Cricetulus griseus: one gene and its partners. The main gene of each other region encodes a partner of the protein of the gene in region 3 in a complex. Links are inferred from orthologs where the notes say so. Each region holds a gene or a part of one and is shown on either strand. Other genes may lie near its edges.

Evidence for each region.
Region 1: Eif4a3 (region 3) and Upf3b share a complex: the UniProt entries of both Homo sapiens proteins name them as parts of the mRNA splicing-dependent exon junction complex. The link is inferred for Cricetulus griseus from reciprocal best matches to the Homo sapiens genes EIF4A3 and UPF3B.
Region 2: the proteins of Eif4a3 (region 3) and Cwc22 are in contact, whole or in part, in a crystal structure (PDB 4C9B), measured with the Homo sapiens proteins. The link is inferred for Cricetulus griseus from reciprocal best matches to the Homo sapiens genes EIF4A3 and CWC22. Residues at the interface, in NP_055555.1 of Homo sapiens: Met43, Gly44, Ile72, Ile73, Lys74, Gly75, Gln98, Cys99, Met183, Gln213, Val256, Ala257, Glu259, Trp263, Asp266, Thr267, Asp270, Leu271, Tyr272, Asp273, Thr274, Leu275, Thr276, Ile277, Thr278, Gln279, Ala300, Asn301, Phe302, Thr303; in NP_001362958.1 of Homo sapiens: Thr129, Gly130, Gly131, Ala132, Tyr133, Pro135, Pro136, Ala137, Lys138, Arg140, Lys164, Asn167, Gly168, Ile170, Asn171, Lys172, Val173, Asn174, Ser176, Asn177, Ile180, Ile181, Glu184, Ala207, Ser208, Ile210, Phe211, Tyr215, Lys330, Arg331.
Region 4: Eif4a3 (region 3) and Alyref share a complex: the UniProt entries of both Homo sapiens proteins name them as parts of the ALYREF/THOC4-EJC-RNA complex. The link is inferred for Cricetulus griseus from reciprocal best matches to the Homo sapiens genes EIF4A3 and ALYREF.
Region 5: Eif4a3 (region 3) and Magohb share a complex: the UniProt entries of both Homo sapiens proteins name them as parts of the mRNA splicing-dependent exon junction complex. The link is inferred for Cricetulus griseus from reciprocal best matches to the Homo sapiens genes EIF4A3 and MAGOHB.
Region 6: Eif4a3 (region 3) and Magoh share a complex: the UniProt entries of both Homo sapiens proteins name them as parts of the ALYREF/THOC4-EJC-RNA complex. The link is inferred for Cricetulus griseus from reciprocal best matches to the Homo sapiens genes EIF4A3 and MAGOH.

What each region holds. Positions count from the first base shown.
Region 1 is NC_048604.1:29,397,791-29,402,021, forward strand, and holds the start of Upf3b (regulator of nonsense transcripts 3B), read left to right. Parts: upstream 1-1,431; 5' UTR 1,432-1,531; coding exon 1,532-1,687; intron 1,688-2,527; coding exon 2,528-2,634; intron 2,635-2,773; coding exon 2,774-2,880; intron 2,881-4,231. UniProt on the Homo sapiens protein: Involved in nonsense-mediated decay (NMD) of mRNAs containing premature stop codons by associating with the nuclear exon junction complex (EJC) and serving as link between the EJC core and NMD machinery.
Region 2 is NC_048599.1:97,135,506-97,139,645, forward strand, and holds the start of Cwc22 (pre-mRNA-splicing factor CWC22 homolog), read left to right. Parts: upstream 1-1,340; 5' UTR 1,341-1,523; intron 1,524-4,140. UniProt on the Homo sapiens protein: Required for pre-mRNA splicing as component of the spliceosome. As a component of the minor spliceosome, involved in the splicing of U12-type introns in pre-mRNAs. Promotes exon-junction complex (EJC) assembly.
Region 3 is NC_048600.1:131,838,114-131,842,368, forward strand, and holds the start of Eif4a3 (eukaryotic initiation factor 4A-III), read right to left. Parts: upstream 2,801-4,255; 5' UTR 2,739-2,800; coding exon 2,570-2,738; intron 713-2,569; coding exon 640-712; intron 1-639. UniProt on the Homo sapiens protein: ATP-dependent RNA helicase. Involved in pre-mRNA splicing as component of the spliceosome. Core component of the splicing-dependent multiprotein exon junction complex (EJC) deposited at splice junctions on mRNAs.
Region 4 is NC_048600.1:133,091,013-133,095,165, reverse strand, and holds the start of Alyref (THO complex subunit 4), read left to right. Parts: upstream 1-1,353; 5' UTR 1,354-1,391; coding exon 1,392-1,625; intron 1,626-1,948; coding exon 1,949-2,080; intron 2,081-3,388; coding exon 3,389-3,536; intron 3,537-4,129; coding exon 4,130-4,153. Other genes in the region: Anapc11 (anaphase-promoting complex subunit 11), read right to left, coding at 500-608. UniProt on the Homo sapiens protein: Functions as an mRNA export adapter; component of the transcription/export (TREX) complex which is thought to couple mRNA transcription, processing and nuclear export, and specifically associates with spliced mRNA and not with unspliced pre-mRNA.
Region 5 is NC_048601.1:16,036,677-16,039,691, reverse strand, and holds part of Magohb (protein mago nashi homolog 2), read right to left. Parts: intron 2,354-3,015; coding exon 2,295-2,353; intron 1,356-2,294; coding exon 1,245-1,355; intron 1-1,244. UniProt on the Homo sapiens protein: Required for pre-mRNA splicing as component of the spliceosome. Plays a redundant role with MAGOH in the exon junction complex and in the nonsense-mediated decay (NMD) pathway.
Region 6 is NC_048595.1:41,959,463-41,963,503, forward strand, and holds the start of Magoh (protein mago nashi homolog), read right to left. Parts: upstream 2,801-4,041; 5' UTR 2,706-2,800; coding exon 2,618-2,705; intron 528-2,617; coding exon 469-527; intron 1-468. UniProt on the Homo sapiens protein: Required for pre-mRNA splicing as component of the spliceosome. Plays a redundant role with MAGOHB as core component of the exon junction complex (EJC) and in the nonsense-mediated decay (NMD) pathway.

The DNA of each region.
Region 1 (4,231 bases), on a different chromosome or scaffold from region 3:
CTTCCTTCCTTCCTTCCTCCCTCCCTCCCTCCCTCCTCCCCCCTCCCTCCTTTCCTTCCACAGAAAACATCTTGTTGGGTAGCTCAGTCTGGTCTAGAATCCATGACCCTCCTGTTTCAGCTCCCCAAGTGCAGGGACTGCAGGAAATTGCCACTGAACCTGAATTAATAGTTCTTTTTATTGCTCATCTTTATGGCATGTATCAGTGTTCACCACCACGACTTGATTCTTGCTTGTCCATTCACCTGGTAATGGGTATTTGAATTGTAGGAGGGGTGATTCACAATCGATTTTGTCCTTTTTTAAAATGAAGAGAGTAAACAAAATCAAGTTGGGCATTTTCCTTTCCTTCCTTGTTGGATACCAAAACCAGGAGAGAATCCTTCAATTAGAAAAAGAAAAAAACGGGTGTGTGTGTGAAAATAAATTTCATACATTTTGGTTTTAACTTCTTTTTTTCGGTTTTTCGAGACAGGGTTTCTCTGTATTGTTTTAGAGCCTGTCCTGGAACTAGCTCTGTACACCAGGCTGGCCTCGAACTCACAGATCACAGCGATCCACCGGTGTCTGCCTCCCGAGTGCTGGGATTAAAGGCATGCATCACCACCAACCGGCTGGTTATGGCTTCTTGAAATTACTATCTTGTGTATTTCTTGAGTCTCTGTAAATCCTTATTTCATTTCATTTTATTTAATTAGTGAATTTATTTATTGGTTTTTAGAGAGAAAGTTTCTCTGTGTAACCCTGACTGTCCTGAAACTCAGGCTGTACAACAGGCTGGTTTCAAACTGTCATAGAACCGCTTACCACCCAAAAGAGACTCTAACGCTTCTGAAAGCATACTTCGGTTAAAAAAAAAAAAAACCTTTTCCTTATCTATTTATTTATTTATTTACCTATTGATTGTTTGGTTGATACAGGGCTACACTAGCTAGCACTAATTTGCCTTGAGCTTGCTATTTAGATTAGACTTTGAACTTGCTGTGATCCTCCACCCTCAGGCTCCCCAGTGCTGGGATTACCGGCACTAGCTACCACAGGCTGCTCAAAACCTTGTGTGTGTGTGTGTGTTTTTTTTTTTAATTAAAAAAAACCCTCTAAAAAAGTAACATTAAATGACCACGTGTAGTTAAAATTAGGGACCCTGAGACATCTGCATGATTCCCACGTTCTACTACTAGGCGGGCAGCTGCTTTGCATGCAGGGAGTTGTAGTCCTCTCGAAACAAGATGGCGAAGTTGCCCGCGAAGGGGCGGGCCCCGAGGGAATGTGGGCCGCTAGGGGATTGGGCAGCGCGGGGTTTAGGCAGGCGGGAAGTAAAGCCCAGGTATTAAAACCTTCTCCCCAAGTGAAGCTGGGTGCCCTAAATTCTCGCGAGATCTCGGAGAGCCCAATGGAACGCCGGGCTGGGCTTATCACTAGGGGCGTTTGTTAGGGGCGGAGCTCCTGAGGGCTCTACCCGCGAGTCGTAGGTGCCCGGCGTAACGGCATTGCAGCTGAGCCACGGCTCTGAGGAGCGTGAACCGTGGCCATGAAGGAAGAGAAAGATCACAGGCCTAAGGAGAAGCGAGTGACCCTGTTAACGCCTCAGGGTGCCACAGGCGGCAGCGTGGGAGCTACTGCCGAAGGCGCCAGAGGGGAAGATAGGCACGATCGCAACAGAGACAGGAAAGACGCTTTGAGCAAGGTGCTTATCGGCTGGTGGCCCCACAGAGGGCGGGACGTGTACACCGATTGGGGAGGTTGGCTGGGAATGGGGCTCTTCCTCTCCCGGCTTTCTCTCTCGTTTCTAACTGAATGAAAATCGCTTCGCACTGTCTCACGCACTGGTGGGAATGGGATTAGCGGATTCGGATCAAGCCCCTGAAGTGGGGCGTGAGGGAAAGGGGGGGGGGCTCCCAGATGACAAGGCTTTCAGTTAGAGCTGCGGATGTGGGGTGGGTGGTCACGGGACGGGGGAGCGGCAGTAAAGATAGGGGGAACTTTAATTGGGTTGAATTGCTAAATAGCCCTTTCAACAGCGGGGGTGAGGGGTGGGAGTCATTGTGGTGTTAAGTGTTAATGGAGGCGACTTAGGGAATTGCGTTTAGGGACCTGATGACCTAAAGCGGCAGACCTTGAAGGAGGCGTTCAGCGAAATCTTTACATATGTTAAGCAGAATGGGGAGGGGGTTCTTTCAGCGTATGTTACACCTGTGAGAGACATGCTTCCGTTACAGCCACGAAAGATCGGAATTTGGCTACCTGTTTACCAGTAGTTCCGTTTTTTTTTAAATGGATTTTAAACTGCGAGGTTGCCATTTAAGAACAGAACCTAAGATTGTCCTTGCGCCAGATAGTTCTCATTTCCCAGAGGTTTTATAAACCCCCATTCTCTCTACCTTTGACTAATTCTGAGCTTGGGCTGCAGAGTATTTTCAGGGTTATTCTAAATGCTTTTGTATTTTAAAGCCGATCAAGAGCCATGATTCGGGTATGCCAGAAAGTTGATGTGTACTGATTTTCTTTTCCTCATTCATTTCCTAAGGTGGTAATTCGAAGATTGCCTCCCACTTTGACCAAGGAGCAGCTTCAGGAACATCTTCAACCTATGCCTGAGCATGATTATTTTGAGTTTTTTGCTAATGATACTAGGTAAAAAAAAAATTAAAAATGGGGGTGGAAAACACTCTTCTGTACTTTTTGTTTTTGAGCTACTTTCTTTAATATATACATGTTTGCAATTCAGCCAGACACCTGCAACCATATTTACACAACTGTTTCCCCTCTACAGTCTGTATCCTCATATGTTTGCCAGAGCATATATCAACTTTAAAAACCAAGAAGACATCCTTTTATTCAGGGACCGATTTGATGGCTATGTATTCCTTGACAATAAAGGTGAGTATAAGATTTAGGAGAGTGGCCATTTTTACATTTAAGAGAAGGTGTGCAGCTGGTTGTGATGTGTGCCTATTATCAGTGCTCTGGTGACAGAGGCAAGTTTGAGGACATTCTGGGCTACATAGAATGACCCTGGGAAGAGCACTCTTGAGGGGGGTGGGGGTGGGGGAGAGGGAGGGAAGTAGGGGGGAGAGCAATGTACAAAACAATGCTTTCTCCATGCCTGTATAGGTACTTTTTCTAAATTATTTTGAGGTAAAATGTGCAACATTTGAAGGATTTTTGTAATCCTGAGATATTTTTATTAACTTATTTCTTTAGTTTGGTCCAGTGAATGAAGTTGCCACTGATTTCTCCTTATGTAACACTTTAAACTTGTTTCAAATGTTGACTTTTTGTTTCAAAGATATTAACTAATATCCTTTATGTCAATAGTCCTCAGAATACTGTTTATTTTTCCTACAAAGTTGTATGTAGCTAAAATGTCAAATTTGCTCTCCTGGGCTGAAGATGTAATTATGTGTGAGGCCCTGGGTATCATCCCCAGCATGAGCAAAATAGACACACAAGTTCTTGGTTCCATGATATACAATGTATAACAATGAACTTCTGTCTCTCTCTCTCTCTCTCTCTCTCTCTCTCTCTCTCTCTCTCTCTCTTGTTTTTTTTTTTTTTTTTTTTTTTTGAGATAGGGTTTCCCTGTGTAGCCTGTCCTGGAACTAGCTGTTGTAGACCAGGCTAGTCTCTAACTCACAGAGATCCGCCTGCCTCCCGAGTGATGGGACTAAAGGTGTGTGCCACTACTGCTCATCCCTGACTGAACTCTTTTTTGGTTTTTTGAGACAGGGTTTCTCTGTGGCTTTGGAGGCTTTCCTGGAACTAGCTCTTGTAGACCAAACTGGTCTCGAACTCACAGAGATCCGCCTGTCTCTGCCTCCCGAGTGCTGGGATTGAAGGCGTGCGCCCACCACCGCCGGGCCTGACTGAACTCTTATCTCATTTTTTAAGATTTATTTACTACACATACAGTGTTCTGCCTGCACACCAGAAGAGGGCACCAGATCTCATTATAGATGGTTGTGAGCTACCATGTGGTTGCTGAGAATTGAACTCAGGACCTCTAGAAGAACAGATACTGCTCAACCTCTGAGCCATCTCCCAACCCTCTTATCTCATTTTTTATTTGCTATCTGTTACTTGCAATATTTAGTTAGAATGTATCCAGGTTGGCATTTGTCATCTTTCATTTGGTTTTATGATCATAGATAAGTAAATAGGGTTTCTTGTCTAGTTTTATTTTCTCAATTACTTCAAGTTTTCAAATATTAAATCCTTGTTATGGTATATG
Region 2 (4,140 bases), on a different chromosome or scaffold from region 3:
AAGATTAAGGAAACAGTATAATTGATGCCAGTTCAGTGAATTCTTACAGATTTTACTTTCCAGCGTTACAAAGTAGTGTTCTCCTTATCCTAAGCATGCCAGGTGGTACCTCCCTAAGACCAAAGAGTCACAATCTAACAATCTATCTACAATTTGCTTTTTGCTTTTTATTTTGCTCTTTTTTTTTTTTTTTTTTTTTTTTTTTTTTTTTTTTTTTTTTTTTTTTGGACAGGGGCTCACTATGTAGCTCTGGCTGTCCTGGAACTCACACAGATATGCCATATGCCAGCCTTGGCCTCCCAAGGGCTGGGAGTGAGCACCAACATGTTGGGTTCCATTCACTTGATTTTAAAATCTTGGAACTAAACATTTTGTCACCTTTTCCCCCCTGCTAAACAGACGTTTGGTAAAGCTTTTTGTCAAAAGCCTGAAAGAGATTTCTACCTTGTTTGAGAAAGGGTTTCTCTGTGTTAACAGCTCTGGCTATCCTGGATGAAAGGTTTCTATACCCGGATAAGCCTCTCCACCGATGCAGCAATCCATGTCAGACAAAATCAAACCGAATTAGAGAAAAGTCCATGTTTAATGGATACTCCCTGATGGACTTCCAGCTCCCAAGAGAGGAGACAGAAAGAAAGACTTGAAAACCACATGTCTATTACCCGGGGAGCAGTTTAAATACCCTGTGGAGTGGTCTTGAGCATCTCTGGGAGGGTCATCATTTGGCAGGCTTTCTGAGATGAAGCAGGGATTGGAGGGAGATAGGGGAAGGGATATGGGTGGAACTTCCACCATAACATTCCAGATTCTTTGGATATATGGATGTCAGGGGCTGGGGTAAAACTTCTACCATAACACTGGGACTCACATTGTAGACCAGCCTGGCCTCGAAACTCACAGAGATCCACCTGCCACTGCTTCCTAAGAGTGATGGGATTAAAGGTGTGTGCCACTCCACCAGGTTAGGGAACTCTACTCATTTTTAAGATCTTCATGGTAAGGCTCTGTTCTATGGTAGAGTACTTACCTAGTACGTATCTTAAGGTTAAGCTTCAACACTGCAAAAACACAAACAAACAAACAAAAAACAAAGCCAACAGAAAGTGACTGCTAAGAGCTACTTTTTATGGTAATAGAAATTGTTAAAATAAGTTGCATGCCTGGAAACCTAACCCACAATCAAGTTTCTCTGTTGTGACCGCCTACCCACTACGAACTGCAATTCCCATGAAGCTCCGCGGTTATCTCTGGCAGGGTACTACTTCTCATTTCCGTCCGCGCTACCAGAGGATCCTGGACATTGTAGTTCACACGGACTTCTATTTTCGCACAGTCTTGGCAAGGAGGGACAGGGTGGATGGCTGGATTGCTTTGACTCTGGTGTTGCTCACGGTATTATCATTACTAGAGTAACATACTAGAGTCAATTTACTACCAGATTTCCACGAATTTCTCGCTCTGCCTTCACCCGGGAAGAGGAAGTGACGCACTTCCGGTGCGATGGCGGCACGGTGGAGCCTTAGGTAATTACCGAACTCTGGAGACTCGGGATAGACAAGCAGCCAGAGTGGGGGCGGCGGGGTGCTGGATCGCGTGTAGAGGACAGGAGCATGCGAGTGGGTGCTGGCCGGGTGGGCCTCGCTTTCCGCGCGTGGCTGCGCCGTCTCCACCGGCGGCCCGCGCCCCGCGCGGTGCGGCGTGAGCGGGCCGGGCCTGGCGCTGGTGGAGGGGACTGAGCGAATGGGCTCTGGTCTAGGTTCTCGCGGGTGGACGCCTTTCCTGGGAGCTCCCAGGGCCGTATCCTCGCAGTCCCGCTTGCTGAAGTCCCTGCTCCTCAGGACCCGGGGCTGGCATTAATAAACTGTAGTAACGCTCTTGCCTCATTCAACTTAATAGCCCACTGGCCAACCCTGTTAACATTTTCATTTGTGGTTCTTTCTCATCGACTTGACTGAACCTCTGTCGTGTGCCTTATCCCTAGTGCTCCATGTTTCGCTTGGTGTGCGTTTTATCTCTCGTCGTTAATCCTAACGCTAAAATATCTGTACTATTCTTAAGTCCCAAACATAGGTATGCAGTACTAGTTATTTTCACCTGCTGTAATTGCGAGACAATTTTATCCATTATACCCGCCAACGTTTATTTGAGGGAAGCAGAGAATGATTTGGGGAAGCATGAATTATTTTAAGCATGGTAAGCCTCTGGAGAGATGGCTCAGAGGTTAAGAGTGCTTGCTGCTCTTGCAGAGTACCTGGGTTCAGTTCCAGGCACCGACATGGTGAATTACAACCATTTGTAATGCCAGTTTTCAGAGGACCGGATAGCCTCTTGCTGAGCTGTGCTGGCACCAGCCACTTGAGTTGTGCACATAATGTACATGAAGGCAAAACACCCTTACATGTAAAAATGAGCTACATTTTTTCGGTGAATTGTGCACTGTATTTAATAGACTGCATTTTTTTCTATCCCTAACATCCTAAGTTGTTCATGACTGGCCTAGTCAGACTCAGTCAGGGCATAGACTAGTTTCAAAAAGAAGTGGTTATTAGTTTATACAGCTATACTATCAAATTTCCTTTGTTTTCTGTTTAAGTCTGAGCTTACTAACATGAGAGGGTAGGGGAACACAAAGGACTCTAGTATGGATTTCAGCAGCTCCTCAGGCTTGTTACACATTTTCTTACATCTCCCAGGTAAATGTGGGAAAAGACATTTGGATGCTGACCACAGCACAAACTTTGGAAGGATTTTCTTAAAAGTTAGCACATGGGCAGAGGAGTGGATTGAAACACACCTTTGCCTTTTGTAACATCAGTAAATCCTAGTGAGCAGAAAGCAGAAAAACAAGTATGGGGCTTCCTTCTTTAGGAAAAAGCTTCGGTGATTAAAGAATGAGCTGCTATGAGAGACCCAGAATGAACTGATGTTTAATCTGTGCTTGAACCTAACTCTTTAATGGCTTAAGCTGCACAAAGCTCAGTAATCCTTTGGGTTCTCTGAACCAGTTTATTGAGTACTTTCCTTCTAGACCAGAGCTTCTGTGGCGGGTAGTAGTGCTGTGTGTCTGGAGGCTATGTTGTAAATTTCTCTGTGGAGAGATTTCCTTTAAGCCAGACTGTGCTCTGGAAAAAAAACAAACAAAACTTATAATGATCAGAAAGGTCATTCCAGTTCATTCTATGAGAGTTAGCAGAATATATTCAGCTCTACATTTAAATAGTAAAGCTGAGGACCAGATTTGATTTGGGGAAGGGGAGGATACAAAGTATGAAGGTTAGATGAAGGCCTGTGATACACTCCTATGTTTGTACCATCAGGGTCCAGTTTCCTCTGTGCCTAAAAGGGCACAGCACCTAATAGTGCTGCCTTGATGCAGATTATGACAGACAGCTTGGTGGTTCCAAGAATAAGAGACAGAGGAGTGTTCTCTATATGTTGTCAGACTAACTTTAGTCCTTTGTGGATCTAAGATAATGAAAAACCACCCTCCCTTTCTCAAACTTAATTTTAGAATTGGAACCTGTTAAGAGTCTGGTACTGTCTATGATGGAGAATTTCAAAGCTCTGCTATATCCATAAAAAGCCTTTCATGGTTTAGCTTCATCGGTCTCTTATGGTCCATCTCATTTATGTTCAGTTTCTATATGTTCCATTTATTCAAATGACTTAGTCACCCACCTTGGGTTTTTTTTTTTTTTTTTTTTTGTCTCTCAGCCTGTATGCATGTGTTTACCTATCCAGAATGACTTTCTCTTGTTACGTGGGTAATTCCTACTTGTCCTTCAGGAGTAGGCCTTAGTATCTCCTGCTTTCTGTACACCCCAGGCTTTTTCTTTTCCAGCAAATCTGTTTGTGGTGTAGCTACATTTAGATATTTCTTCTCTACCTTAAGGATAAGAACATTGACCTTTGATGTCTTCTGTGTTGTATAATGTAAGTATTGCCTCCCTCTCCACAGCCACTGTTTTTACCAGGAAGACTATAACTATGCTGTAGCTTCATAATTTTGGGAGTCCTGTATCATATATTTTTCAGTTGTTATAGCATCAAAGAGACTCTTCTGCACAAATACAAGCTTGAGCAATTGAAGAAAACATCTAGTACACGATTAGAAGCACTAAAGTGTTTTATTACAAGGCA
Region 3 (4,255 bases):
TGCACTTTAATCCCAGCACTTTGGAGTCAGAGGCAGGCGGATCTCTGAGTTCCAGGCCAGCCTGGTCTACAGAACAAGTTCCAGGACAGGCTTCAAAGCAATACAGAGAAACCCTGTCTCAAAAAACCAAAGGAGAAAAAAAAAGAAAATAAAATTAAGGCAAATAACAGTTTGGAGTATAGTTCAGTACCCAGCATATGGAGGGGGGAATAAAAAAAAAAAAAATAAAGCTACTAAAAGAGTATCTTGGGCTGGAGAGATTGCTCTTCCAGAGGACCCTGGTCCAATTCCCAGCACCCACATGGCAGGTCACACCTGACTGAAACTCCAGGTCCAGGGCTTCTGACACACTCACACAGACATATATGGAGGCAAAACACTAATGAACATTTAAAAAAAAAGTATCTTGCATAAATCTACACTGAGTAGGAGAGCAGTTGCTCAGTATGTGCAGTGACCTGGATATGACCCACAGCACCAAGCACCTTCCCAAAATATACATGGCTAAAAAAAAGGGGGGAGGGCTTTTCTAGATAGGGAAAAAAGTCAATGCTGAGCTGGGGGTGTAGAGAGGACAAGGCAGACTCATCTTCCCACAGCCTCACTGACCCAAGTTGGCTCTCAGCACCCACAACTTACTGTGCAATGACATCTCTCCCCTTAATTATCTGCTTGATAGCACGCTGCTGGATCGCTGAAGGTTTCTCAAAACCTGCAAATACAGAGAGGAAAAAGACTCAGCCCTCATACTGTGACAGCGTAGACACCACACAGCACAGGCTCCCTGGGGGCACACATACATACAGGCTTCTTACTGCCAGCCCAGGCCGCCAGGTGAACCACGCCTTACAGACTGGCCTGGAAGATGACCTGTGAGGACAGTGTCTACAGAGCAGCACTGAGAAGGTAGAGGCAGGAGCACCAGGAGTCCCAGGTCCGCCTAAGCCACATGAAACCCCCTCTGCGATAAAAGTCATAAATCCAGAAGCACAGAGGTTGCTCCCTTTCCTACTGGCGAGCACTCCAATCCACTTGCTGCCTGCCGTCCCCAGCATGACGTGGGCACCGCATGCTGCTCTCACCTGGCTGTAGCCCCATTATCTAGGCACCACCCCTAGACAGACGAGGCATGGTTGTGCACTCCCTAAATCCCAGCACTCAAGAGGCAGACAAAACTTACATTGAAAAGCTATAGTTCTTTTTTTTGTTTGTTTGTTTTTTGTTTTTCGGGACAGGGTTTCTCTGTGGCTTTGGAGGCTGTCCTGGGACTAGCTCTTGTAGACGAGGCTGGTCTCAAACTCACATAGATCTGCCTGCCTCTGCCTCCCGAGTGCTGGGATTAAAGGCGTGCGCCACCAACGCCCGGCCTTATAGTTCATTTTTATACTTTAAGCTAGCAGCTGGGCAGTGGTGGCTCACACCTTTAATCCCAGCACTTGGGAGGCTGGATCTCTGTGAGTTCGAGACCAGCCTGGTCTACAAGCCTGAGTTCCAGGGCAGCCTCCAAAGCCACAGAGAAACCCTGTCTCAAAACAACCGCCCTCCCCAAAAGGTTGTAGCTAGCACACCTTCCCAATTCAACACAATACCTATGATGGTTATCTTAGTGGTCAATTTGACTGCATCTGGAATTAACTAAAAACCATTTAAAGTGGGAAGACCCACCTTCCCCGTCTGCATAGTGAGTTCCAGTTCAGCTAGGGCTATGTAGAGACCCTGCTTCAAAAACAAAACAAGGGTGGGGGGGAGATATGGTGGTGCAGGCCTTTAATCCCACCACTCAGGAGGCCTGTGAATTCGAGGCCAGCTGGTCTACAAAGCTACAGAGAGAAAACCTGTCCCAAAAAGAAAAAAAAAAAAAAAAAAAAAGAACAAAAGCACCATCTGGGAGGCAGGGGCAGGTAGATCTCTGAGTCTGAGGCCAGCCTGGTCTGCAAAGAGTTCCAGGGCAGCCAGGGCTACCATGAAGACACCCCTTCCCCAGGTCTGGAAAGAACAAAACCTAACAAAACAGACAGAGCGCAGCCTCCCTCAAATGCTCCTAAGCACACAGCAGCCACATGACGCAGGGCTGCACTCTGCCTGCCACTGCCACCAGCAGACCCTTCAGCCCCAAAGCATCCCCAGCATCCCTTCTTCTGCGGCCCGGACATCGTCCCGCCTCCTCCTCCAACTCGCTTCCCTCCAAATCCGGACACCAAACTAAACGTTCAAACGGCAAACCCGACCCTACCGCCTTTCCGCATTCAACTGCAGAGGCTTCGGGGTGGTCTAGGAGCGAGTCTCACCACACCTCTCACAGCCTGGCCGCGGGCGTCCTCCGTGCGCCCCGGGGCTCGCTCTCCTCTAACTGTCCGCGGCCCTAACGGGGCTGAAACCCCGCAAGGCCCGACCCTGCGGGACCCACGGCCTCGGGGCCCGGGGCGGGCTCGCACTCGGCTGCCGCCACCCCAGCGACCGGGCGAGCCTGGCTGGGCGGCCCGCGGGAGAGCCGGGCCTGCGCTCCGAGCGGCTCGCACCTTCTCCGCCACCCCGCCCGGCCTCCCCGCGCCGCGAGGCCCGCGCCCACCGTAGGCGTAGATGCCGCGCAGCAGGTCCTCCCGCAGGCCCATGGTGTCGAACGTGGGGGTCACGTCCACCTCCTCGCTGGTCTCGAACTCCACCTTGGTCATGTCCTCCTCTTTGAGCAGCCGCTTCCGCGCGGAGCCCGACGTCGCCATCGTGGCCGCGGCCGCCATGATTCCGACTCCGCCGAGCGCCGAGCGCGAGCCGCGGCGGGAACCGGAAGCAGGGCTCCGACGCCGGCGCCGGCGCGGGAGGCAGGAAGTGACGCCACCACGGAGCGACACGGCCCTCCCAGAGGCGGGAGGCGCCTGGTGTGGCGGAAGCGGGAAGCGCGGCGCCGGGCGTGGGCGCCGCTCCCGTTCTCGCGAGATCCAGCGCAGCCGCGTGATGTGCCCCCGCGCCGTCGGTGCGCGCTGTGGGGTTTAGGAGGCTCCGGGCAGGGGCGCGGGGTCCCCGGGGACGCGGCGTGAGGGACGCCCTCGCTCAGCACCGCCCCCGCCCGCGTTGCCATGGCAACCCCGTCCCCCGCGCGTCTGCGCAGCCAGAGCCGTGTGTCTGGCTGTGCCCCACGTGAGTGTGTTCCTGGGAAACGCTCGCTTACACCTGGAGGACACTCAACTGCCAAGAGTGACTAACGAGACCCTCCTGTATGTGTGCACACTCACACACACGTGTACTCACACACTCACGTGTGCACACTCACACTCATGTGTACACACACATATATACACACATCACATGTGTACACGCTCATGTGTACACACTCACACATGTGTACACGCTCATGTGTACACACTCACACATGTGTACACACACACGTGTACACATTCACACATGTGTACACACACACGTGTACACATTCACACATGTGTACACACTCACGTGTACACATTCACGCACGTGTACTCACACTCATGTGTGCACACACATATATACACACATACACATGTGTACATACGCATGTGTACACTCACACACATGTGTACACACATGTGTACACACTCACACTCATGTGTACACTCTCACACACATGTACTCACACTCACGTGTACACACTCGCGTGTGCACACTCGTGTGCACACTCACACTCGTGTGTAAACAGACACGTGTGCACACTCACACATGTGTGCACACACACGTGTACTCACACACTCGTGTGTACACACACATATATACACACATACACGTGTACATACGCATGTGTACACTCACACACATGTGTACACACATGTGTACACGCTCATACACTCATGTGTACACCCTCACACACGTGTACTCACACTCACACTCACGTGTACACACTCTCACGTGTGCACACTCACTCGTGTGTAAACAGACACATGTGTGCACACTCATACACTCATGTGTACACCCTCACACACGTGTACTCACACACACTCACGTGTACACACTCTCACGTGTGCACACTCACACGTGTGCATACTCACACACGTGTACACACTCACACATGTGTACACACATATACACGTGTACACACTCACGTGTACTCACACATATATATACACACACAGTACACACTCACACACACACGAGTCTTTAAAAGCTCCCATAAAAATGGAAATCGTTTATGTCCAGTGGTTAGAAGCAAACTGTCCGTTTCTGGAGAAGTTGCGGGTTGCAAGATACCCGCGCTAAAACAAGTTCCTGCCGCCTTCTCTTGCGAGCCTGG
Region 4 (4,153 bases), about 1.3 Mb from region 3:
TTTTGAGGAATTAAGAGAATGACCAATCATCACAATGTATCCCAGGCAAGCTTCAAACTCAAGCCTCCTCTTGCCTCTGTCTGTGCCACCATGCCTTGGCAAAAACAAAAGTGTTGTTTTTGTTTATTTGCTTTTCTTTGTTTTTACAGACAGACTCTCATTATGTAGCCTCCAACTCAGAGGCTACCTGTTTCTGCTCCCAAATGCTGGTATTACAGATGTTTGCCACCATGCTGGATAGGGTCTTTATACAAAAGTGAGTTTGAAGAATTCGTTTATTTTCTGTCAACTTTCCTTCAGGAAATGGAAAGTAAAACCCACGGTTTTATTTTCTGGTTTTCTTAGTTTTTCGAGACAGGGTTTCTCAGCGTAGCCCTAGCTGTCCTGGAATCTCGGAGATCCTCCTGCCTCTGCCTCCCTAGTGCTGGGAAACCCAAGGTTTTCAAGGCTGGTGGAGCTGGCCGAAGTTCTGAGAGCACGGGGGAGGGGGGGCACTTACAGTCTGGACAGCAGCCATTAAACGCCATCCTGCAGATGCCACAGTTCTCATCGTTGGCTACCCAGAGCCACGTGGCCACACCATTCCAGCACTTAATCTTCACCTTCATGGCAGCAGAGCGTGCGACCTGAGGGAAGAGGGTTTCCTGGCTAAAGTTACTCTGTATTACTACCACAGACGGCACTTGAGCATTTAAGGCGGGGAGCTGCGTGCTAGGCGCCTCCAGGGAGCCAGGCTCCCAAGTTGTTTTGCTATGTTGAAGGTCGTTTTTAGAGCTGTGCACCCAGGTAGCGGGCCAGGCTGGCTCACGCCTTTAACCTCAGCGCCGCGGAGGCAGATCCGCCCAAAACCAAAGGAGGAAAACAAAAACAAAAACCACTGCATCCATGAAAAACACCTCGGTTTTCACTCACAACCCGCGCGTGACAAGCCATCAGCTTGCTAAATTTAAATAAAATTAAATTTTAAAAAACCATCCCTTCGAGCCCACAAACCCCAAATCGGATCCACAGATCGGCCCCCCGCCTCGCAGCTCAGGGACTCGGCGGGCGGACGGACCGAACTCGATCCGGCGCCTTCCGGCCTGCGCAGGGCGGATCCCAGGCCAGGCCCCGCCCACGCCTCGCCCACTCCACCTAATCTCGCGGCGCCCCGCCCTTCCGTTGCAGGAGCGCGGGAGGTATAAAAACGACCGCGCCGCGCCGGGCGCCACACACTCGCGCGGGCCGTCCTCCTGAGCGCAGCGCAGGCGCCCTCCGCTCTCCGCGCGCGCCGAGGCCAATCAGGGGCAGCTTCGGGGGCCGCGACGCCGGAAGACCAGGGGAAGCTCCGGAAGTGACCTAGCGACGTGCTGACGCGCGGGCTCGATCTGAGGCCCGATTCCGCGCCCGCCATGGCCGACAAAATGGACATGTCTTTGGACGATATTATCAAGCTGAACCGGAGCCAGCGAGGCGGCCGCGGCGGAGGCAGGGGCCGTGGCAGGGCCGGCGCCCAGGGCGGCCGCGGCGGGGCGGTGCAGGCGGCCGCGCGGGTGAACCGAGGCGGCGGGCCTCTGAGGAACCGGCCCGCCATCTCTCGCGGCGCCGCCGCCGGCGGCAGGAACCGGCCGGCTCCTTACAGCAGGGTGAGCACGGGAGGCGCGGCGCCGGCGGGGCGGGCTCCCGGCGCCCTGAGGCGGGCGGGCGGGCGTCCTGCGGGAACCGCGGGAACGGAACGGAACGGAGGGTGGGCGGGGGCGACGCCGCGCGGTGAGCGAGGCCCCGGTCACAGGCCGGGATCTTCCGGGACGCTTTGTCCGGTCCGGTCCCGCCTCGTGGCGGCGGAGCGGCGGGCGTGGGGGTCGTCTCCTCCGGGCTCTCGGGCCGCCGTGAGAGAGAGAGTGTGAGTGCCGGGGAGGGATCGGGGCGCCCGAGACGAGGTCGCTCACGAACCTCTCTTTCCCTTCAGCCGAAACAACTTCCAGACAAATGGCAGCACGATCTGTTCGACAGCGGCTTCGGGGGTGGAGCCGGCGTGGAGACCGGCGGAAAACTGTTGGTGTCAAACCTTGACTTTGGAGTGTCAGACGCAGATATTCAGGTAAGAGACCAGAGCCGTCCGCATGCTTATCCCCACACACAGAATCCCTTCTGATCAGAGCCTGTGCTCCCCCAGGCTGCCCAAGGGCCAGCCGCTGCCCTCACAAAAAGTAGTATCCCCTGGGGTTTGAATGTGACTGATAGGTCAGGCTGCTTGGAAGGCAGCCTGGTGTGCCCCCAGAGTGGCTCTTGTCTGCTAACGTCACGAGCACCTGCCGTCTGCAAGGCTTACAGTTTCTAACGGGCACAGACTGGCCACAAGTCCGGTCCCTGTGTGACCGAGGGTGCTAGCTTCTCAGGCTTTGTGCCTGTAGTAGTAAGCTTATGAGAAGGAAAACTCTCCCCACCCCCACATGTCTGAAGGCACAGGGGTGAATGGTGGCTGTGTGTCTTCCAGACTGACCTTTCCTGGGTCTTACCAGGGGCATTGTTCTCATACCTTTGGTTGAAGTCTTTTTTTCTGTCTGTCTGTCTGTCTGTCTGTCTGTCTCTCTCTCCCCCCCCCCCCATCTCTATCCTCTCTCCCTCTCTCTGTCTTTCTTCTGGCCCTCAAATGCAATTAGAGTTAACAGAGCAGGTTTTTAGGAGTTAGTTTTGGGTCATGGGTGCTGGGCCTTTCTGGGTTCCCTTTCTCAGAGCCCCGCCATTTGGCCTTGTCAGGGAGCATAGAGCAAGGCCAGTGAGCACTCACAGTGTCTCCACACTTTTTTTAAGGTGGTTTCTGGCATCCACTGGAAACCGCTTTTGGTGAACTTCACTTCCCGCTGTGTGCCTGCGGCCGAAGTAGCCCCACACTCTGGGTTCCCTCTCCAACTCCCAGCCTGCCTGAGGTCAGGGCAGTCTCCATGGCGCATTTGACTTCAGACTTTGCAGCAGGCTTGAGTAGGAGGAGAGGGAAAGGTGAGCCAGAATCTGCCTTTGGGGGAGGGGCTTGGGTCACAGCTCCCCAAATCAGTGGGCCCTTTGAGCTGTCTGCTCTATGAACAGCTTCCCTTGGTTTTTCTCTTGGCCTTTGCTATCTGATGAAACAGCCATTAGTCAGGTTGTGAGTGCCCTTGCTGAGAGAGAGGTAGTTTCTGTGTGCTTCCTTCACCTGCATCATGGTACAGTCACACACGTCCCAACGTGGACAGGAACCCAGGTGCTCAAAGTGACACCCTTCCCTCACCTCTTGATTGCCTCTGCCCCGCCCCTTTTCTGGGTGGTGGTCAGTAAAGTAGCACCCAGGAACCCTCACAGCTACTGAACTGAGCCTCTAGAGGGAAAACAGCTTAACTGCTTGGCTAACAGTTGCCCTGTCCACTTCCAGGAACTCTTCGCAGAGTTTGGAACGTTGAAGAAAGCAGCCGTGCACTACGATCGCTCTGGCCGAAGTTTAGGGACAGCAGATGTGCACTTTGAACGGAAGGCAGATGCCCTGAAGGCTATGAAACAGTACAATGGTGTCCCTTTAGATGGTGAGTATATGGGGCTGGGCCCAGGATGCCTGGGGCTTACGGAGTTTGGGGCTGGCACCTCTCCCTGTAGGAATATGGGCTGCCCCTGTGGCTGAGGACACTTTGCATTTGCCCCTTTGTCTCTCTCTTCCATTCTGCCACCTCTCATGCTGCCCCACACATCTGGACCAACCTCTTGTGAACCCCCATCCAGCAAGCTACATCCCTCCCCTCCTTCAGCTCCTTCCGGAAGATTCACTTCTGTGAAGCCTTCTCAGAACCGCCATAGTACAACCTGAGTGCGGGGCTGTAGTCGTAAAGACAAAGGTACCTGTTCTTCTTCCGTCAGGCTACCCACACCTGTCCACCCATGAGCACCCTGGACACCTGACCAAACAGCCCTCTTAGCCTGAACTGAGAAGGAGTGAGGAGGTGTTGGTGGGGTGTTATTGCCACTTTATTTTCCCACCAGGCTCTCTAGGCCTTGTACCTTGTTGGGGGCATTGGAGACACACAAAGGCCCTTTCTAGAGCTTGCATGGAGACCAGGGTGTGGTGCCTTCTGGGTCAGCTTCAGAGCCTCTGGAGTGAGACTTGTTGTATTCTTTACCATAGGCCGTCCCATGAACATTCAACTCG
Region 5 (3,015 bases), on a different chromosome or scaffold from region 3:
GTTTTTACATTGAATTACCAAGCAGATGCTAGAAAAGATAGCCCTAGTTATTTAATCAAAAGGCCTAACTCTGCACTTTATGAGATACAGCAAATTACGAATTAGCTAAGATTCTCTAATAATCACAAAATTCTTGGTTTAACTATCCAGTGGCAATTTCTGGAACAGGCCTGCTACCCATCATGAGAACACATCACCAGGGCAAAATACAAGCACTGGCTCTCCCTAGGAGAGAAACATTTTCATTTCTAATGACGCCCTCTCCATATCTGCAGGTATTTTTCTAGAACTGATAATTCAGAAATTAGATCACTAAGGCAAAAACAGATGGAAAATATTGACATTTTCTGATATATACTACCAAACTACCGTCTAAAAGAAGTATATCAGCTTAGAAACACAGATCACTACCTCTCTTTCCTTATACCATACTCTACATTGGGCTCTTGCCACAGAACAGCTGTGTCTCTGCTACTTTGAGCATGTATTAGATCTCTCTACATTGTCTTCTAGTCAAAGAAAGCAGTGGATATAAAGTACAATCCTCAGGAACACAGAAAAATGAAAATAAATGTTTCTTTCTCCCAGGCCTTGTATTTCATTTCTCTGAGAATTGAAAATTCCCAATTCAGAAACCAAACTGTCTTTATACAGAGTGAAGCTGGGCCTGCAGAGTCCTCTGGGAGCACTCTGAGAAACATCAAGTGTTCTGAAGGGAATATAAGAGGCAAATACAGTGGTCCACTTGAACAAAAAGAAAAAAAAAAAAAGGAGAAAAAAAAAAAAAAAGACTTTTTCTGGGGCATTCAAATAAACAAATTCTGAAAGATAAAAATTTGGAAAAAGTGAATTGCTGCACTCAGTGATAAGAACTAGCTCTCAAATTTAGCTAGCAATATTGTACTGATTTACAATAGAAATAATTAACAATAATGGATAATTTACATAGCAGCGTCAAACTATCCTAACTTTGGCTGGACAGACTAGACAAAAGATGTAGAATACTGTCTAAATTTAGACCTATGTGCTGACTCCTCTACAGTTGAAGATAGCAAAGAAATTCAAGCTAAGAGCTGGGAGGTGTAACTTGGATGGAGTACTTGCTTGCCCAGCATGTATGAATCTTAAAGAGAACAAAGTTATATAATCAAACTTTCAATAAGAAACCATGATGAATGTATAAGATAACACACAGTCGTTGTATCAACTGACTCTGTCCACTTAAAAAATCACGAAGCACAGACCTGTCTGCCAACCCTGTCAGGGGGTGGCCACAAAGCATCGTCCTCTTTTGTTATTTCACTGTCATCAATAATTCTCTTCAGTTCTTCCATTACACTCTTGTGAACATAGGCCTGAAAACCAATGACAGTAAAATCTTATAAGGTTCATCTGTCTTCCCACTGTTCAGCAAGATATAATAAAAGCAAGCTATAAATCCTAAATATTCCAACAGAATAGGAGCAAAAAATTGAATTTGATTCCAAATTCATCCATCTCACAATTTTTTTTCTGCTCTCTTGCCTTTAATCACACACCCTTCCCTCTTCTCACAACTAGCTGCTTTAAGGCTCCACAGTCTGCCAGTTGTAACAGGAACAATCTGCTTATTGCAATTAATGGAACATCGTAAGAGCTATATTGTAAGGACACAACATAATCACCCAGGGGCTGGCAGGCTAAGTCCAGGCCACACTTTCATGTCTTTCATTTAAAAATCACACTTCACAAAATGAATTAAATGATACGAGGCTATAAATATTACAAAATGCTAAAATCAGAACCATCAAGGGGATAAAAGCAGCCAAGACTAAAGACCTGAGCTCAATCCCTAGAACCTGCATAGTAGGAAAAAACCAATTCCTACCAACTGTTCTTTGATTTCTACATACATGCTGCTACATGTGTATACAATACAACACGACACAACACACACACACACACACACACACACACACACACACACACACACACGTTAGAAAAAGAAACTTTTAAAAAATGCTGTAATATGTAATTAAAAGAGAAACCTTTGCAACTATAAATTGGTTTCTTCATTGAAACAGAACCTATGAATAACTTTTGTCAATACAGACAAGATAAATGAACAAAATGTAAAATATTAGACATTTGAAAAGAATTTAGCCAGAGGCAGGTGGATCTCCCTGAGTTCAAGGTCAGCCTGTTCTACACAGTGAGTTTCAGGAGAGCCAGGGCTACAAAGGTAGAACCCATCTCAAATGAGAAAAAAAACAAAAAAAGGAGAGAGAGAGAGAGAGAGAGAGAGAACAACTTACCTCTTTTCTTATCATCACATCATTCTTATAATTGCTGTTGTTGGCGTATCTAAGCTTTCCTGTGCAGAGATAAAGAACACCATGAGCAATTTTAAAGGGAAGGCCAATTTCATATCCCACTTTTAGTAGCAAATCTACTTTCCTCGTGTAAGATGAGTGATAAACACTCAATAATATAAAAGTGAGCTAGCAAACTTAAATATGTTCCACAGCATGATGTGGTAGAATTTGGGGAGCCCCTTTTGAGGGCCTTACCCTGCCTGGGGAGTGGAGGGGGGATGGCTAGGGGCAGTTGGGATGTTGGGTGGAGGGGAGGGAGAGGGAGAAGGGATTGACACGTGAAGCAAGCTTGTTCCTAATTTGAACTAATAAAAGAATAAAAACTAATAATTAAAAAAATGTTCCACAGCTTCCATTTAGAATGGGTCAGGTTTCTTAAGGCCTGTTCTCACCCCCCTCCCCTTTCTGAGACAAGATCTCACTGTGTAGTCAGGTTGGTGGTCTTGAACTCACAGAGATCTATCCACCTGCCTCAGTCTGTGTCCTAACTGCTGGGATTAAAGTTGTTCACAACAAACAAGATTATTTTCTCAATCTAGCCCCTAAACTAAACGTGACTGTGACAAAGCACTGAGTATTCTCTTCAAGTGTGACATGCTGATGCTTAAGGCAGCTCTCACAGCATTTCTTCTGATCTCTAAAGGAATTCGAGCAGCAGCTT
Region 6 (4,041 bases), on a different chromosome or scaffold from region 3:
GTAGGTTTTATTATCCCTCATTTTGCAGATGGAAGTATAGTGACCAAGTTTAGCCAGGGAACTTATCTGAGGTCACATGGTCAGTATGGAGCATATTGAGGGTTCAAACCAACACAGAGATTTCAAAAAGTTGCTAGTTATTAATTCAGCAATCCAAATAAATAAATAAATAAATAAATAAATAAATAAATAAAAAACATGCAAACCAAAGATGTGAGAAATAATCTAGCCGTGTAGAAATAGTGCTTAGCTGGGTGTGATGGAGCACACCTTCAAACCCAGCTTGGGAGTTTCAGGATGGCCAAGGCTATACAGAGAAACCCTGTTTTGAGAAACAAAAACAAAAAACCAAATAGAAAACAAAGAAAAAGAAGTATTTGTTTCTCCACTCTTTACTTTTCATTACTATTACCAGAGAGCGCAGAAACAATGTAAAGGGCTCACTGGTAGTGAAGGACAGGGTCCTACCTCTTTTCTGATCATGACATCATTTTTGTAATTGCTGTTGTTGGCATATCGAAGTTTTCCTGTGGGGCAAATAAATAAATAAATAAATAAATAAATAAATAAATAAATGCAATTTACAACAAAACATCAACTCAGTAGCCTACTAACAATACCAACTTTGCCTAAATTATATCCAATTCTCTCTCTTGGCTGTCCTGGAACTCGATCTGTAGACCAGAATGGTCTCAAACTTACAGAGATCCACCTGCCTCTGCCTCCTGAGTATTGGGACTAAAAGTGTGGGCAACCACCGCTGTAGCCGGCATTATATTCAATGTTCAACCCAATTCACAGCTATTATATTAGTCTTTACAGTGCTCCACTTTAAATTATGAAACAGCTGAAGACTAACCTGACACTGAAATAGAGTTCAGGCAAAAGTTACTTTGATTTGGCAAAAGAACACAGGCAGGCTCTTTTACGACTCTGGCAAATAGCTTTTCAGCAGGTCAATGATCTCAGCTGTAAACAGAAATGATAATTGCTAAGTTCCCTGCACAGAGAACATGCTGAAAGTATTTTGAAAACGGTAGGAAGCGACATACACATGCCCATGTGGTCTTGTGGTATGATCTATTTCTGCATACTTTTAAATTGAGCACATTTGGTTCATAAGTCCTTCTGTGCATGAGTACAACCACCAGGCTAGTTTGGGTATATAGTGTCATGTGGCAGAAAAAAACAGGGAACTTTGGGGAGAAGCATCTAATTTAGTCTGACTGTCTGAGCAGGTTTCATGCATAAAGTGACTTAGGTGGGTGGAATATAGGAAGAATGTGAAGTGTAGGTGTGGGCTAAGGGACCAAGAATAGAGAAGATGGTGTTTTGGACCAAATTCACATCAAAGACACTGGAAACTAAAAAGTGCTTGGGATGTTGCAGGCAGAAACAAAGTAGTGTGGGCAGAGTATTGTAGGGTTGAAAAGGCAGACAGGAACTCAGCTTGGCTGTATGCCATGGTAAGGGGTTTGAATTTTGTCAGGAAGGCAGAGGGAAGTTATTGACAGTATCAGAGAACTACAGTCATCTAATTACACAGGCCTCTTGCTACATGTTCTTGTCCATCTTATAGAGAACTAACTGAAAAAGGGAAAGATTTGAGTAGAATTGTCCTTGCCTCCTCACCACACCACAACCGTCCCAAAATATTATCAATCAGATACATTCAGATCGTCTCCAACAGTATCCTAAGTCTTCTCCACGTCTATAGTCCTAGCTGTCCTAGTCCCGACCGCCATCTCATGTCTATTCTGTGTCCAAGCGCTAGGATGCTTTCTGAAGATCATCACACCTTTTCTCTTATAAGCTTCAAGCTGTTTCCTGCTGCTCCTATTTATGGTCTACAAACACCTAACATCATCTCCTACTGGTTTCCCTAGAATTCTGTCCTTCAGTCACCTCAACGGCCATCTGAAACATGCCTGGTTCTTTGCTGTCCTATGACCTCTACATTTGCCACTCCGATAGAAGACTTTTCTTCCTGAGCTTCACAAACTGACTGGTCCCTTCTCGATTCCGGCTCAATTCAAATACCCACTGTTCAGAGTGCTCTCGAAAAAGAGACCCTATTTTCGGATCACTCCTCACTACAGGAGATCACTGTTTATGGTTTCTCCCAGTACCTAAACACATGTTCCACGAGAGGGGAAATTTATCTTCGTGGCTCTGTCCCCAGAGTGGAACACGGCCCGGTGTAAGATGGACATTCAATCAATCTTTGTTGAAACGTTAACAACCTGGCTTTTTAAAGCCACTAAGAAGCCGGGCGTTGGTGGTGCATGCCTTTAATCCCAGCACTCGGGAGGCAGAGGCAGGCGGATCTCTGTGAGTTCGAGGCCAGCCTGGTCTCCAGAGCGAGTAGGCTGCCAGGACAGGCTCCAAAGCTACACAGAGAAACCCTGTCTCGAAAAACCAAAAGAACCCAAAAGTTACTAAGGAGAAGCTCCAGCGTATGGACAGAAAGGACCAGTGAGGCCGAAAGAAAAGACTACGCCTTTCACAACCCAAGAGCTCCGGTCTCAGTCCCTTCCTTCACAAAAGCCGCGGCCCGGCCTCTCCGCCCTCCCCCAGGTCCCGTTTCCCTTCCTTGTAGGCGGGAGGCCGCTCTTACCGTCAGGTCGGAATTCAAACTCCAGGAACTCATGACCGAACTTGCCTTTGTGACCCACGTAGTAACGTAGGTAAAAGTCACTCTCCATGGCTCACACGGGACAATCAAGACCGAACTTTACGAACAGATCACACTACCACGATCTGCGCCCTCTACTGACGTAACGGCGGCGCGCGGAAGTGACGCCACAACCGCGCCGTTAATAACAGTTTTTTCACCCTTGGGAGGCGGGAACGAGACTACCCCGCCCCCGCGTCCTGCGGCGAGATCCGGATCACCGCTCCTCCTTTCCGGAAATCGAGTGCTTTGCGAGGTCCTGCGCTTCCGTTACGTCCTGGGCTTCCACGGGGCAGCTTTACCTATAGGCTTAGGGCCAACCCTGCGATCTGTAGTCCAGTCAGGCTCAACCGCAATGTAAAGACACACGAAAGAGGCCATTCACACTCTGAACCCAGGTGGTCTCCACAGTAAAATGGGCAAAAAATGGCTCCCCCATCTTTGAGCACGCTGCCCCCTTCCCCACCCCCAGGGTCTGAATCAGGAGTTGCGTTTGAGGGGCAGTGTAGTAGCGAATAGCTGTGGCCTAGCACTCAAAAGCTTAACGCCGCCCAGGAGTCACGAGTTGAGGCTAGAGGCTGCATACTGTAAGACCCTGTCTCGAAAAAGTTCGCTTTACTTTTTTTTTTTTTTTTTTTTGAGACAGGGTTTCTCTGTGGCTTTGGAGGCTGTCCTGGAACTAGCTCTTGTAGACCAGGCTGGTCTCGAACTCACAGAGATCCGCCTGCCTCTGCCTCCTGAGTGCTGGGATTAAAGGCGTGCGCCACCACCAACGCCCGGCTCGCTTTACTTTTGTGTGTTTGTTTTGGGTTTTCCAGACAGAGTTACTCTGTTTAACAGCTCTGGCTGTCTCTTTTAAGAAAACTTTTCCCCGAGCAGTGTTAGTGCACACCTTTAATCCTTAAGGCAGGTGGATGTCTGTGAGTTAGAAGCCAGCATGGTCTACAGAGCGAGTTCCAGGACAGACCCCAAAGCTACAGAGAAGCCTTGTCTCGAAAAACAAACAACACCCCCCGCCCCCCCCCCCCGTTTTCAATGACTCCTTCCCCAATCCACAACGTTGCCTGGAACTTGTCTGCACTGCCAACATCCCCTTCTGCCGTTTGCTTATTTTACAATTTATAGGCAAGGTGCAGACTGACGGGGCACTTGTGACCCTCCTACCTCAACTTCCAAGAGTGTCACCTCTTAGGCACAAGTTGCCTCTCATCTCTCCTGTCTCCCAGGCTCACTGCTGTCTAGGATAGGTGCTGTGGGAGGATGTTAAAGTGGACATTGGATTCCCACTCCCAGATACCTTACCCACAGTGATTCTAAGCCACACACACACACACACACACACACACACACACACACACACACACTGT